Linked DNA regions of Caenorhabditis elegans. The protein of the gene in region 2 purifies or fractionates together with the protein of the main gene of each other region. This does not show direct contact. Each region holds a gene or a part of one and is shown on either strand. Other genes may lie near its edges.

What was found.
Region 1: the proteins of mrpl-12 (region 2) and C25E10.8 fractionate together in Caenorhabditis elegans (co-fractionation; one large-scale study listed by BioGRID). This does not show direct contact.

Annotation. Positions count from the first base shown.
Region 1 is NC_003283.11:9,050,873-9,056,880, forward strand, and holds C25E10.8 (TIL domain-containing protein), read right to left. Parts: upstream 3,198-6,008; 5' UTR 3,061-3,197; coding exon 3,058-3,060; intron 3,009-3,057; coding exon 2,957-3,008; intron 2,894-2,956; coding exon 2,823-2,893; intron 2,778-2,822; coding exon 2,490-2,777; 3' UTR 2,390-2,489; downstream 1-2,389. Other genes in the region: spi-3 (TIL domain-containing protein), read right to left, coding at 1-140, 198-200; Serine protease inhibitor swm-1, read right to left, coding at 3,396-3,680, 3,731-3,801, 3,862-3,910, 3,958-3,960; C25E10.10 (TIL domain-containing protein), read right to left, coding at 4,604-4,719, 4,820-4,916, 4,962-5,047, 5,097-5,173, 5,216-5,288, 5,334-5,391, 5,444-5,446.
Region 2 is NC_003281.10:10,704,691-10,710,496, forward strand, and holds mrpl-12 (Mitochondrial Ribosomal Protein, Large), read left to right. Parts: upstream 1-3,070; 5' UTR 3,071-3,076; coding exon 3,077-3,146; intron 3,147-3,194; coding exon 3,195-3,395; intron 3,396-3,453; coding exon 3,454-3,704; 3' UTR 3,705-3,831; downstream 3,832-5,806. Other genes in the region: Y39A1A.21 (ATP synthase subunit C lysine N-methyltransferase), read right to left, coding at 1,880-2,113; Y39A1A.22 (Xenotropic and polytropic retrovirus receptor 1 homolog), read right to left, coding at 1-615, 1,215-1,850; W09D10.5 (N-acetylgalactosaminide beta-1,3-galactosyltransferase), read right to left, coding at 3,923-3,960, 4,004-4,278, 4,876-4,980, 5,263-5,473, 5,535-5,646, 5,697-5,764.

The DNA.
Region 1 (6,008 bases), on a different chromosome or scaffold from region 2:
CCGCATTGTGGTTCACAATCATAACCACAAGCCACTCGTTTTTGGTTTTTCCCACATTCTGGTAAAAACGGGGCTCCTGGTGTGATCCATTGTGTGGCTGATCCCATGCTTAAGTAAAAGCTGAGAAATAAGAAAGTCTTCTGAAAAGTAATACTCGGATGAATAACACATGCTTTAACTATGTAATGCAGGCTTACCATTGTTATTTGCAGATTTTCCGTGTTGGACAATGAACAGACTGAAAAGTGAACGACGGAGAACTCTGAGCGAATATTTGGGCGGTCTCAAGTAGTTACCGGAAGAGTGAAAAAGACGTTCTTTAATATATAATTATAAATGGAAATCAGCCAGAAATGAAATGATAATGACAAGGTTTTCATTTGAAACGAGAGGGAAAAGATATTCAAGAATTGGAAATTTAGAATGAGTTTCAGCCACATCTCATAACTTCACACATTCATTATGTTTGTTTGAAAAGTCACAAAGTTATAATGAAAATGAACATTTATTTATTAAGACACCAATACTGGCTAAAGAAGAAACTAAATTCTATTTCCCTTTTGCCAAAGGTATTTTTGAAAACACTGAATTTGATTCTAAGAACAGAAGTACTGTAAAGAAATGATAAAAGGTATGGCTTAGAATAAAATTGCATTATCTGAATACTGAATATGTGATGTTAAGCTTTCAGTACAGAACAACTTTTTTTATTGAAAAAAATGTAAAAATAACTTTATTGATAAAACCGTTTCCAAAACTGAGCTTATATACCAGTCAAACGGGAAAACTTTAGTTTAAAAAATACCTAGAAACTAGACAGGTGAATTGCGTTCAAAAATCATATATGATCTGCTAAATGTCAGCATAAAATGGATTCCTTGAAAAGTAATTTAGTAAAATCGTACCGGAATTCAGTGAAAAGTGATACAAGTTCGGAAGACAAAACGGGTCTCAATAATTTAGATGTGCAAAAAGCTTATTGACGTAAATTTTATGTATAATTATGGAAAGTACGTAATACTTTTTTGGTAACGCAGAATATCGAATAAATCTGCTCATGAAATTTTCTAACTTCGAAGTAAGTGCATTCTTAAAATCAAAGTTTTGATTCGATTTTTTTGGCAGAAAGGTATAACTCAAAAGTCCCGAAACAAAAAATATACATTTTGTTAACGGGCTTAAACAGACGCAGTTATTTAACTTCATAGTTCAATTCAAAAATGACGGCGGTCTCGAAAAAAAATTTGAGCCTCTCACTTTTTTGCATCATCGAAAATCTATTTCCTTTTGCGCATCGGTAGGTGTGAAATTTGAAGCGTCATTGAAAAGGTCAAGTTAAACGTTTTTTTGGCATTTCAAATAGTATAGACCTAAACGTATATATTATATTTGAATTCGTTTCATTTTTGAAGTAATATTGTAGTGAACTATAATATTGAGACATTCAGTTACGCACTATGTTTTGTCATACTTATTTCTTAGTATATGCATTTGATACAAAATACAAACTCGGAGGTTCAAAATTGTAGACTCGAGCATTGTCAGATGTGTATTTCAATAATTAACGTGTTTATAAATAATGAGCGAAATACTATGACGGCATGAAAACGTCATGTGTTTAAATAGAAAAACTAACAAAGGCGTCGAAAGTCAAAAGTTTCAAAAATATAAAGTAAAGGGAAAAATTAATTTCCTATAACTTTTGCCAAATTTTTTCTGGGACAAATGATATTGTGCAGAAATTGGCAGAACCTTTCTGACGCGTACCTATTGGTATTTATGAATGTGATTATTTTTATGTTTACGAGGTAGAAAACAATTGCAAATGCTCACGTAAAATAGCGTAGTCTTTCATTTTCCAGAATGTGCCTGGAAAAAACGCTGCTGTAAAAGAATCGTGATTTTTGAATTAAAAAGTTTTAAGCGTCTACGACATTTTCTAACCTAGACATTACAAAAGAATGATTGATCTTTTTTTGAATAATTTCCTTGCTTAAGTTTCTTATTTGTTTTTTGTGTGTATGTTCCTATATTAAGAAACCAAGTAGGGGATGAGCTCAGCTCTGCCACACGGTTAAATTTTTTAACGCATTTTTTAACGAATTTTTTTTCCAAAAAAATATATGATGCCAACATTTAAACTGTCTGTTTTTGTCGCTTTTGGAATGTTTATGAAACAACAATTGCCAATCCTAAAAAAAGTTTTGTGTGTAGCATCGAACCTATAAGACCAAATGAAATTCAATACTCTAGTGAGGTAATCTGTACCCAAAAACGAAAACTTTGTGTACTCCGATCGGACACAGTTTTCCATCGGAATGATATCACGATCACGGCATTGTTTGTGTTTTGTTCCAAAAAAGAAATATAAATTCGTTTCCATTTTTCCAGTTCATGGTAACCGAATGTTATTCTATTTGGCAATTTGTTGGTTTTTCTCAGAATATGAAATTCAACGATTTATTATCACAAATGTGAATACAAAATGTTCACTTTGGGCACTCCTTGAGTTCGGTGCATCTGTAACCGTTTCGGACAAAACCACTGGAACACTGGCAAACATTTACAATGCATTGTCTGGTACATGGTCTTGGTCCTGGTTTTTCACAAGTTGGCTCACAAGCGGTTCCGCATCGGAAGAATGTCTCATTTTCCGGACATTTGCTAGTTTCCTTGGTACAGGTGGAAATATCGACACATTTTCCAAGTGAATTACGCACAAATCCTTTCTTGCAGTCGCATGCGTTTTCAATACATTGAGCAGATAGACACACTTTCTGAAAATTAAATATTATAGGAGAACATGGAAAATTATAGATTACTGGAGTGTATCCGCATTGTGTCTCACAGTGATCATGGCATGCAACCATTTCCTCGTTGGCTCCACATGTCTCTGAAAAGTAAAATGTTTATTTTCCAGAAATATTTAACAATAATCATTTAAAAATAAACTTACTATTGGCAGCTGTCGCAGCAGCAATAAAACAGGCAATTATGACAAAAGTTCTCTAAAAACTCATTAGTTTTTGCATTGCTCTAATGAAAAAAAGAACGAACCATCACAGAAAGAAAAGTAATGCAGCAGTCTGATGTTTTCTTTTGAAATGACTCTATTTATTGTTCGAGAACACTAAATCACGCAGAGGACTCTAGTCTATCAAAACCGCCCTTTTGTTTGCCAGAGACATAGACATTGAAAAAAAACGATGACCAATAAATCCAAAAGATCAAACAGAGTTTTTTTTAGTTTTTCATGCCAGGAAAAATAATACTGATGTAACAATTGTGTTATCAATAATAGCACACAACTCCAGTTTCCTTCATCACACTTCTTTTTGAATTTTTTCCAATATTTGATGGTTTATTGAACTTGGAAATGTTTACTCAAAAACAAATTATTTTGGACAATCTTTCTTATCAATGCATCTGAGTCCATGACGAACGAAACCTTTGGAGCATTGGCAGACATTGACGATACATTGTTTAGTGCAAACTGTTGGATTTGGTTTCTCACAAGTTGCTTCACAAGCTGTTCCACAGCCAAAGAATGTCTCATTTTCTGGGCATTTTGTAGTTTCCTTGGTGCATTCAGATACTTCGACGCATTTTCCAAGAGAATTACGAACAAATCCGTCTTTACAGTCACATGTGTTCATGATACATTGCTCCGTGCAAGCTTTCTAAATTTTGAAACTTTCAGTAATGGGAGACACATTAAGTTAATTGTTACAGGGGTATATCCACATTGTGGTTCACATGTATTATGGCACGATACCAGCTCCTCATTGGCTTCACATGTTTCTAAAAAAATATTTATGATCTGGTAACCGTTCAAGTACCAAATCACATATATTTACTTACTTGTGGCGGTAGCAACAGCAACGATGCATGTGATTATGACAAGTATCCTCTGTAAGTGTATAATTTTTATATTAGAAAAAAAACTCAAAAACTCACCATTTTCACAATAACGAAGGGCAACCAACCGATGTTTTGCTTTTTAACGGCTCTATTTATTGTGCCGGAACACTAAAAAACGGCAGAACCGCCCTTTTTTTCGGAAGGGATGATACGAGAAACATGATAAGATCGAATGGGAGATATTATAGGTCTTCTCAATCTTTTGGAGAGAAATTTATCTTTCACCGGTCACGTATTTATTTTGTAAATTGGGCTCACAACAAAGGTTTAAAAATCTCGAAGAATTTGTATTCGAAAATTCAGAAAAAATCAGAAACACATTAAATCGAGAACCTTACGAAATTTCATTCCGACCAATGATTTTAATGAATCAATTCACTAGAAGATATCAATTTAAAACGTATCGCTTGGTGCAAATAGTTTTGGCTTGGCTCACTGGAGAGTATTTCGAATGTGTTTCATCCATAATTACCAACTTAACATTGTTTGGTTAACACTGACTTTTTGTATTCATTGTATTGCAACACGGAATAGTTCATAAGTTTTTTGGCTATTGAAAAGGAATACAAATATTATGTTAAAATTCGAATATTGTTATTTTTAAATTTTCTGAAAACATTAGCATGAAAACATCAATATTAAAATATGAGAAAAACAACTTTTTTTTTAATCATCGAAAATATTATTCAGTGGTATGTTGTGCAACACATACGTCCACAATTTGGCATGGTTTCTCCTCACAAGTCAGCTCCACAAGTTCACATTTTTCGTTCTCAGAGCATTCAAGAGTGCATTTGCCTGAATGAAAAATTTATGACTAGTATTATGTGCAGGTTTTCAGCGAATAATCACTGATGGTTAAATTGGTTAAAGTCTAGTAATAAATTTTGAAGCTTACTGCATTTATTTTTCTCCACACATTTTCCAGTTGCCGAGTCTCTGACGAGTCCTTTCTTACACTGGCAGACGTTTGTCATACACACCAAATCACATTCCTGAGAAACAATTTATGATCATACATAATCTCAACGTTGATTTACTGGATTCTCGTTATCACATGTCGGTTCACACGCTGAGCCACACGCCTTGAGCTCTTCATCGCCCTCACATTCCGGTTTGCGGATTGCTGGAAGTTTCCAAGAACCACTGGATATTTTTGGTTTCACTACACTTACGGATTGGCACGCACTTTGGATCAACTGAACAATCGTCTTCAGAACCACATTCCAAGTCACTGACTGGCAGTTCGCATCTGAAAAAATATTTTAAAATTTATAATTGGAAATATTAAAACCTATAATTATCAGGACATTTGATAGAACCACAGAGTGCGTCTGTGTGAGAAATGGGCATGTTTTCTGTGTTTTCTGAAAATAAGTCATTTGATTTTTAAATAAAACCTTGGTACTCACTAAGAACTCCAGATCTAGCAAAAGCAAGAAGAGCAAAGAAAATAAATAATTGAAAATTCTGAAAAAACACACTTTCATTTGTTGTAAGATATGAAGAAAAAACCACTCACCATTTTGATGAAAGAATTTCTGAAGAAACTTTCGGAGTGGGGAAGTTATGAGAAGGAAGCAATCATTGAAATAAAATTGACAGGCGTGAGACCGAGGATGAGTCAAAAGATTAATGACTTGGTGAGACCGGAGAGAGTTCAGCCGACCGGAATATTTCTTGAGTGCTGTTTTTTTAAGTTTAAAAATATGTTATTTACAAAATTACTTTCTACGAAAGTACGCCTGAGAAGAACAAAGAAGTAACTGTTTTCGGTTTTTGCTTGAATAGACTCAAAATGCGCCCTAGGCAAAATTTTGGTAATGAGAAATCTCAAAAATTATGCAATTTTTTTGAGAAGTCTTATTATGAAAGTTGCCCATTTGAGTATTTTTATTATATACAAGCAAAAACTCAAGACTGTTGGAACAGAAGATTAACTGCTGGGATGGGCTTTGAATATATTCAAAATAGCTCCAAAAGCCAGAAACTTCATAAAAATAACTCGCAAAAATACTCAAAAACTGTGTACAGCCGTTCAAAAATTTTTAACGTTGTTTCCAAATTGTGAAAAAAATAGTAAAAGA
Region 2 (5,806 bases):
AACTTCTGTAGCGTAAAAGCACACAAAGTACTGAAAGTCTAGGAATGCGGTGGTCAGTGAGTTCATTTGATCTCCAAGCCAGAAATCGGTGAATGTGACGAAATGGAATGGTGATGTGAAGCACTTGTAGCAATGTTTCAGAAGCCAGAATCGAGAATTTCTGTGGAATACCGAGTCGGGTTTGGCGATTGGATTCAGAAGAAGAATCAGACAAACCACCATTAGTGCTAATGGAGGTGCGAATGGTGGAATATGGAGCATATGAGCATATAGATAGGCGAGAACTGCAAAAGACCACAGCATAATCATAAAGGATGCGATTTGCATCAGAGTTTGATATGAGAGATGATTCCTGGGATCTACTTCAAAGATCAGAACGTGATTGACTCCAGCAGCAGCCCAACCAGCCATATTCACACCACAAAGGAAGATTGATAGGAAGAGAAGTAGTGGTCCTCGGAATAAACGAACGGCTACCCATTTTGGTTCTTGAGGTCGTGCTGGGGAGGCGATCCATGTTAGAAGTATTGCAAGGAGCAGGATGATGCTCGCACCGATGAAGAGGCCCAGGGAGAAGGTGGTGAGAGGCTTCTGCTTCTCCGAGAGTGGTGGTACCTGGAAAATTCGATTTTTTCTTCATTCCGGTTTTTTTTTAAATTTTATTTTAGTTTCTAAGTAAATTTTTTATTTGAAATTCACATTTTTTAAAGAAATTTTTATTCGGAAAAAACTGAATATTTTTTTATTTTATTTTTAATTTTTGAAAGATTCGAGTGTTTTTCTCGAATTTTTCGATTTAAAAAAAATTAATTTCCTTACTATTTTAAAAATTTATTCGATTTTAGATCAAATATTGATAATTTTCTAGGTTTTCAATTTTTTTAAAAATTATTTCAACGATTTCAGTCAGGTTTTTGTATTTTCTTTTTTTTTTAAACAAAAATTGAAAATATCACAATTTTTCCCTGGAAATTTTTATTTTGATTAGAAATTTTTTTTTCAGAAAAAATTCATTTTATTGAAATTTTTTATTATTTATTTTCAAAAAAACTTAAAACTACTATTCAGCATTTTCTTAGATTTTTTTTCAAAAAATCTCCGAAAAAAAAAACTGAAAATCGCTCGAAAATTCAATTTTTCATTGGGTTTTCTAAAGTTAATTCTGTTTCGTATAAAATAATCAATTTTCCAATTTTTTCAGCGAAATTTCGAACCTTAAGCCTCTTCATTCCAGCTTGTCGATTTCCAGCCTCCAAATCATTAATTACACTGGTTTCCACATTTGTGATCAGAGTTTCAATTTCTCGATTCAAGAAAAACGACGATTTTTCCACTTTATTAATCCGCCAGTCGAGTCCTCGTTCGTTGCCAGTGAGCTTGTCGTGTTTCTTTAAAATCTTCCGAAATCCGGTAGCATTCAATTGCTGAAAGTTCTGAACCAGCACCAGAGAAAGATAAAACTCGGAGAATGCGAGTTTCAGCTGCTGCTCATTCCGTGTGGTCTCCTTATGGAATTTGTCTTTTCCTCCGAACCTTCTACGGATCCCTGTGGTATCGCTGCGAGACCCAAGAACATCCTTGAACACTTGTAGTTCGGTTTGAAGCTCGTGATGTTTTCCCTGTCCTTCAGCGATTTTTTGCGAGAAGAATAGGTTGATCTTGGTGAGCTCTTGGTCGCACTCGTTGAAAAATTTCTCGTCGAGCCGGGAAATGTGCTCTTCTCGGCGGTCATCGTCGGCGGGAACCTCCATCATATCATCGTATAATAGATTTTTGAGCCGCTCATAGTCAATGTATTGTTTCCGCCACTCGGGCGTCAAGTGGCTCGCTAGTTGCTCGCCGAACTTCATCTAAAATCGGGAAAATGGGAATAACTTACAACACGGCCATCGCCGGAGCCTAAATCAATGAGCGTTCCCTTCTTGTTGCTGTTGCTGCTCGTGGCGAGTGAAAGTGCGCGGGAGACGTTCGCGAGCTGCTCCGTCGTTGCTGGGACGTACGGAATGCAGACGCGTCGCAGAGCGGGCGCCACGAACGGAATTGCGGCCGCCGAGATGGCGAGCGCCGTTGCGCCAGCCACACCGGCAATCACCAGACCTGTGTTCATGCCCATACTGCAAAAAAACACAATCTCGAGGGGAACACTCATTGATTTAAATCATGATTTTTTATTTGTTTTAAAATTTATTATTTTTAAGTTTAAATTATCTTTATTTTTCAAAGGATTATTGTTTTTGAATATTTAAAATTAAAATTCATACCCACCTTTATTCTTCAATCGATTTTCTTCGGAATAAGATGAAGTTTCTCATCAACGATTCAAATTTTCTACCTGAAAACAGAAAAAAAATGTTTAAAACGATTTTCAGGCCTAAAACAGTGCAAAACACTGGAAATATATCGATTTACGCATAAATTGCACTCGACAGAATCAAAATTTAAATTCGTACTTTTCGCGAAAAAGAGATAGACAACGAAATTCGATAAGGGCACATGCGACTAAAAATCGGGAGCTCAGTGCACCGGAAGTGCGCAAGCAGTTGATGATTGCGCAAACGAGTGGCTACTGGCGCGTTTTCGGATGGGTCGGATTTATTTTCTGCAATTTCTGTGCGATTTTTATTAATTTTTTGCGTTTCCCACCGTATTTTCCAACCAAATTTCTGAATTTTTATATAAAATTGTCGTAATTTGCATGGTTCCGACGTTGAAAATCACCAAAACCCAGGTTAAAATTCGTTTTTTAAAAAGGGGGTTTACTTTATAAAGATATGCAATTTTGGAATTTCAGTTTTGCTAATTTTTCGTGGTTTCTTAGAGTTTTTCTATTGAAGATTGTTAAAGATCTTGTAAAGAAGATGTTAAGTCGGTAAACATTGCAAAACTTTTAATTTTCCTCAATTTTCGCTAATTTTTTGCGTTTCTTTATGATTTTTATTTTAAAATTAGGTTTTTCGGGTATCGATTTGTTAATTTTTTAGCTAAAAATATATTACATAAACAAAAGTTTCTTCAAACTTATATTTCTCTCTTATTCCGATTAAAAACTAAATTACCTTTCAACTTCCAGGTAAATATGTTGTCCAGAACACTCCGACCGATCTCCAAGGTGCTCAGAAGCAGCGCGAAGTACTCCCAGGCCGCAGGTAATCTGAAAATTAAGATTTTCCTCAAAATCATATCAAAATTTTCAGGTCTTCCATTAAACGAGGGAAGCCCGGCACCATTGCCATCAGAAGACAGAGCAATCTCCGCAAAAGTCAGCTCGTTGGTTGAAGAAATCGCGAATCTCAGCCTGCTCGACGTCTCCGATCTTAACTGGGCTCTCAAGAAGCGGCTCAACATTCCAGATCAACCATTGATGGCTGCTGCCGCTGCTGCTCCAGCCGCTCAGGGTAAACATTATTTATTATAGTTTAATAAAATTATTTATTTATTTTCATTATTTTTCAGCCGAAGCGGAAGCCGCATCAGACGTTCCACAAAAAATGACATTCACTGTGAAATTAACGAAATTCGATGATACCAAGAAGATCGCAATCATCAAGGAGATCCGTAACGCCATTCCAGGCCTCAATCTCGTTCAGGCCAAGAAGTTTGTGGAAACCGCACCGGTAAATGTTAAGGAGGATCTTGGAAAGGCAGAAGCCGATGAGTTGAAGGCTATTCTGGAGAAGGCTGGAGCTACCATTGAAATTGTTTAATTTTTTGTTCTATATTTCCCTCTTTTCATTTGTTGTGTTCTCATTTTCTTCAAATTTTTCGTAGATAGTGTAGCATTTCTTTTTGTTAAGTTTTATTTTATTTTATGGAAAAATAATTAATTTCAAAAATAATTAAATTTACACCCGGCAAGAAGAGAAATACACGTCCCATGATAGAAATACTATTGGATAGATTCTGGAGAAGCTGCTGGAGAAGATCAAAAATCGGTAGTCTCATTTGAAGAAGTGTCAAGACCTGCAATTTGGGAAAATTACCGGAAGCCTGTATGGGTACAAACCTCCGCGTCCGAATACTTTCAGCGACATTCCGAATTGAAGAACTCGCATATCCTTTTCGGATAATTGGCCGAACGAGATCGCGTGGTCGGAACATTTTCCGGCTTTTGTGGGACTTGAACGGAACAATTTCGAGTCTGGCGCAATTATTTGTTTTGGTGGAAGATCGTTGAATAGTCGGAGAGCATCTTCATCAAATGGATCAGCTATCTGGACACCGTACTTCTCGCTGCAGTCGTAGAGAGCGAAATCCGAGGCTCGCGAGAAGAAAAATCCTCTGAAAATCATGAAATCAAACATTTTTAGAATTTATTCGGGAGTTTTCCAGAAGTAATTCTCTGATTTTCGATTTTTTAGTCTTCAAAAACTTTCGGTAATTTTGCAAATTAAATTTGTTACACTGATGCAAAACTTTGCGATATTTGCCCCAGAATTACGGTACCCGGTCTTGATACGACATTTTTTTGCTAATGTTGAAAGGTCTGCGCCTTTAAAGATTAGTGAAATTTCAAACTTGTGCTGCTGTGGAGTTTTATCGCTTTTTCATTGTTTTCTGCTGATTTATTTTTTAAACATACATATTAACAATCGTGAGAAAAACTATGAAAATAAATGATTTTAATGAAAATTCCACGGAAACCAAAGTTTTCAATTACAGTACTCTTTAAAGGCGCACATATTTTCGCATATGACCAAAATTTGTCGTGTCGAGACCAGGTACCGTATTTTTAGCGCAATATTTCGCGACTCGAAAATCCAAGTAAATAGTATTTTATTAAAATTTGATACACAAGGTGTAGGGTTCCCAGAAATTTAATTATTTTTGCGCGTCAAATTCGCTGTATTGGGTACGTAGCACTAAAAAAAATCTTACTTGCAAGCAGAAAGCTTATCAATTGCTGGATTTGATAGCACAACTCCACCACGAACGGAAATCTTCTTGAAGCTGCTCAGCGGGAAGAGCCAAGAGAATAATGTGCTGGAAAATTGCTGGTTTTTTGGAAAAGCTCGGCCACTGATTTAAATATTACGGGAAAACTAAATTCTGGGAATGCATATTACGCAACACATTTGACGCGCAAAATATAAATATATCTCGCAGCGAAAACTACAGTAATTCATTAAATGACTACTGTAGCGCTTGTGTCGATTTACGGGCCCACTTACTGTAGTTTTCGCAATGAGATATATTTATATTTTGCGCGTCAAATATGTTGCGCAATACGCATTCTCAGATATTACGGGAACGCAAAATTCTAACCTAGTATCCTTCACTTTTCCAAGAACAACTGGTTTTTCAGAATCAAAATTTCTCAGAGTATTTCGAAGATTTGGAACTATCAAATAAGTCTGATCATCGCCCAAAAATGTCCATTGAGCCGGGACTTTTGACGAGAATTCCATTGCATATAAATAATATGTCCAGTAGAAATGGTTAAGGCTGGAATCCACGTGGTACATTGTATAGTTATCTGTAAATTTGAAATTTGAAATTAAAAAGTGCAACAGAGCGCGATTTCGGCCCCGACTCACTTTGAAATTTCTGAAACTTATCGAATAATTTCTGATTATTCGTGAAGAATATCGTCTCCTGACACAGTTTTGCGTACCCATCTGTGATTGCGGATATTATATTTTCTGGCTTCTGTAATACATCGAATTTCACGCACAAATTTTTAATTTTTGGCGACTTACGTGGGTAGCCTTGTGGAGAATGATAACACAACGGAGATTAAAGGATTCCGGTTTTGGTGTGGATTTTTCTGGAAAAGATGAAATTGAATCACAAATTTCAAATAAAAAAT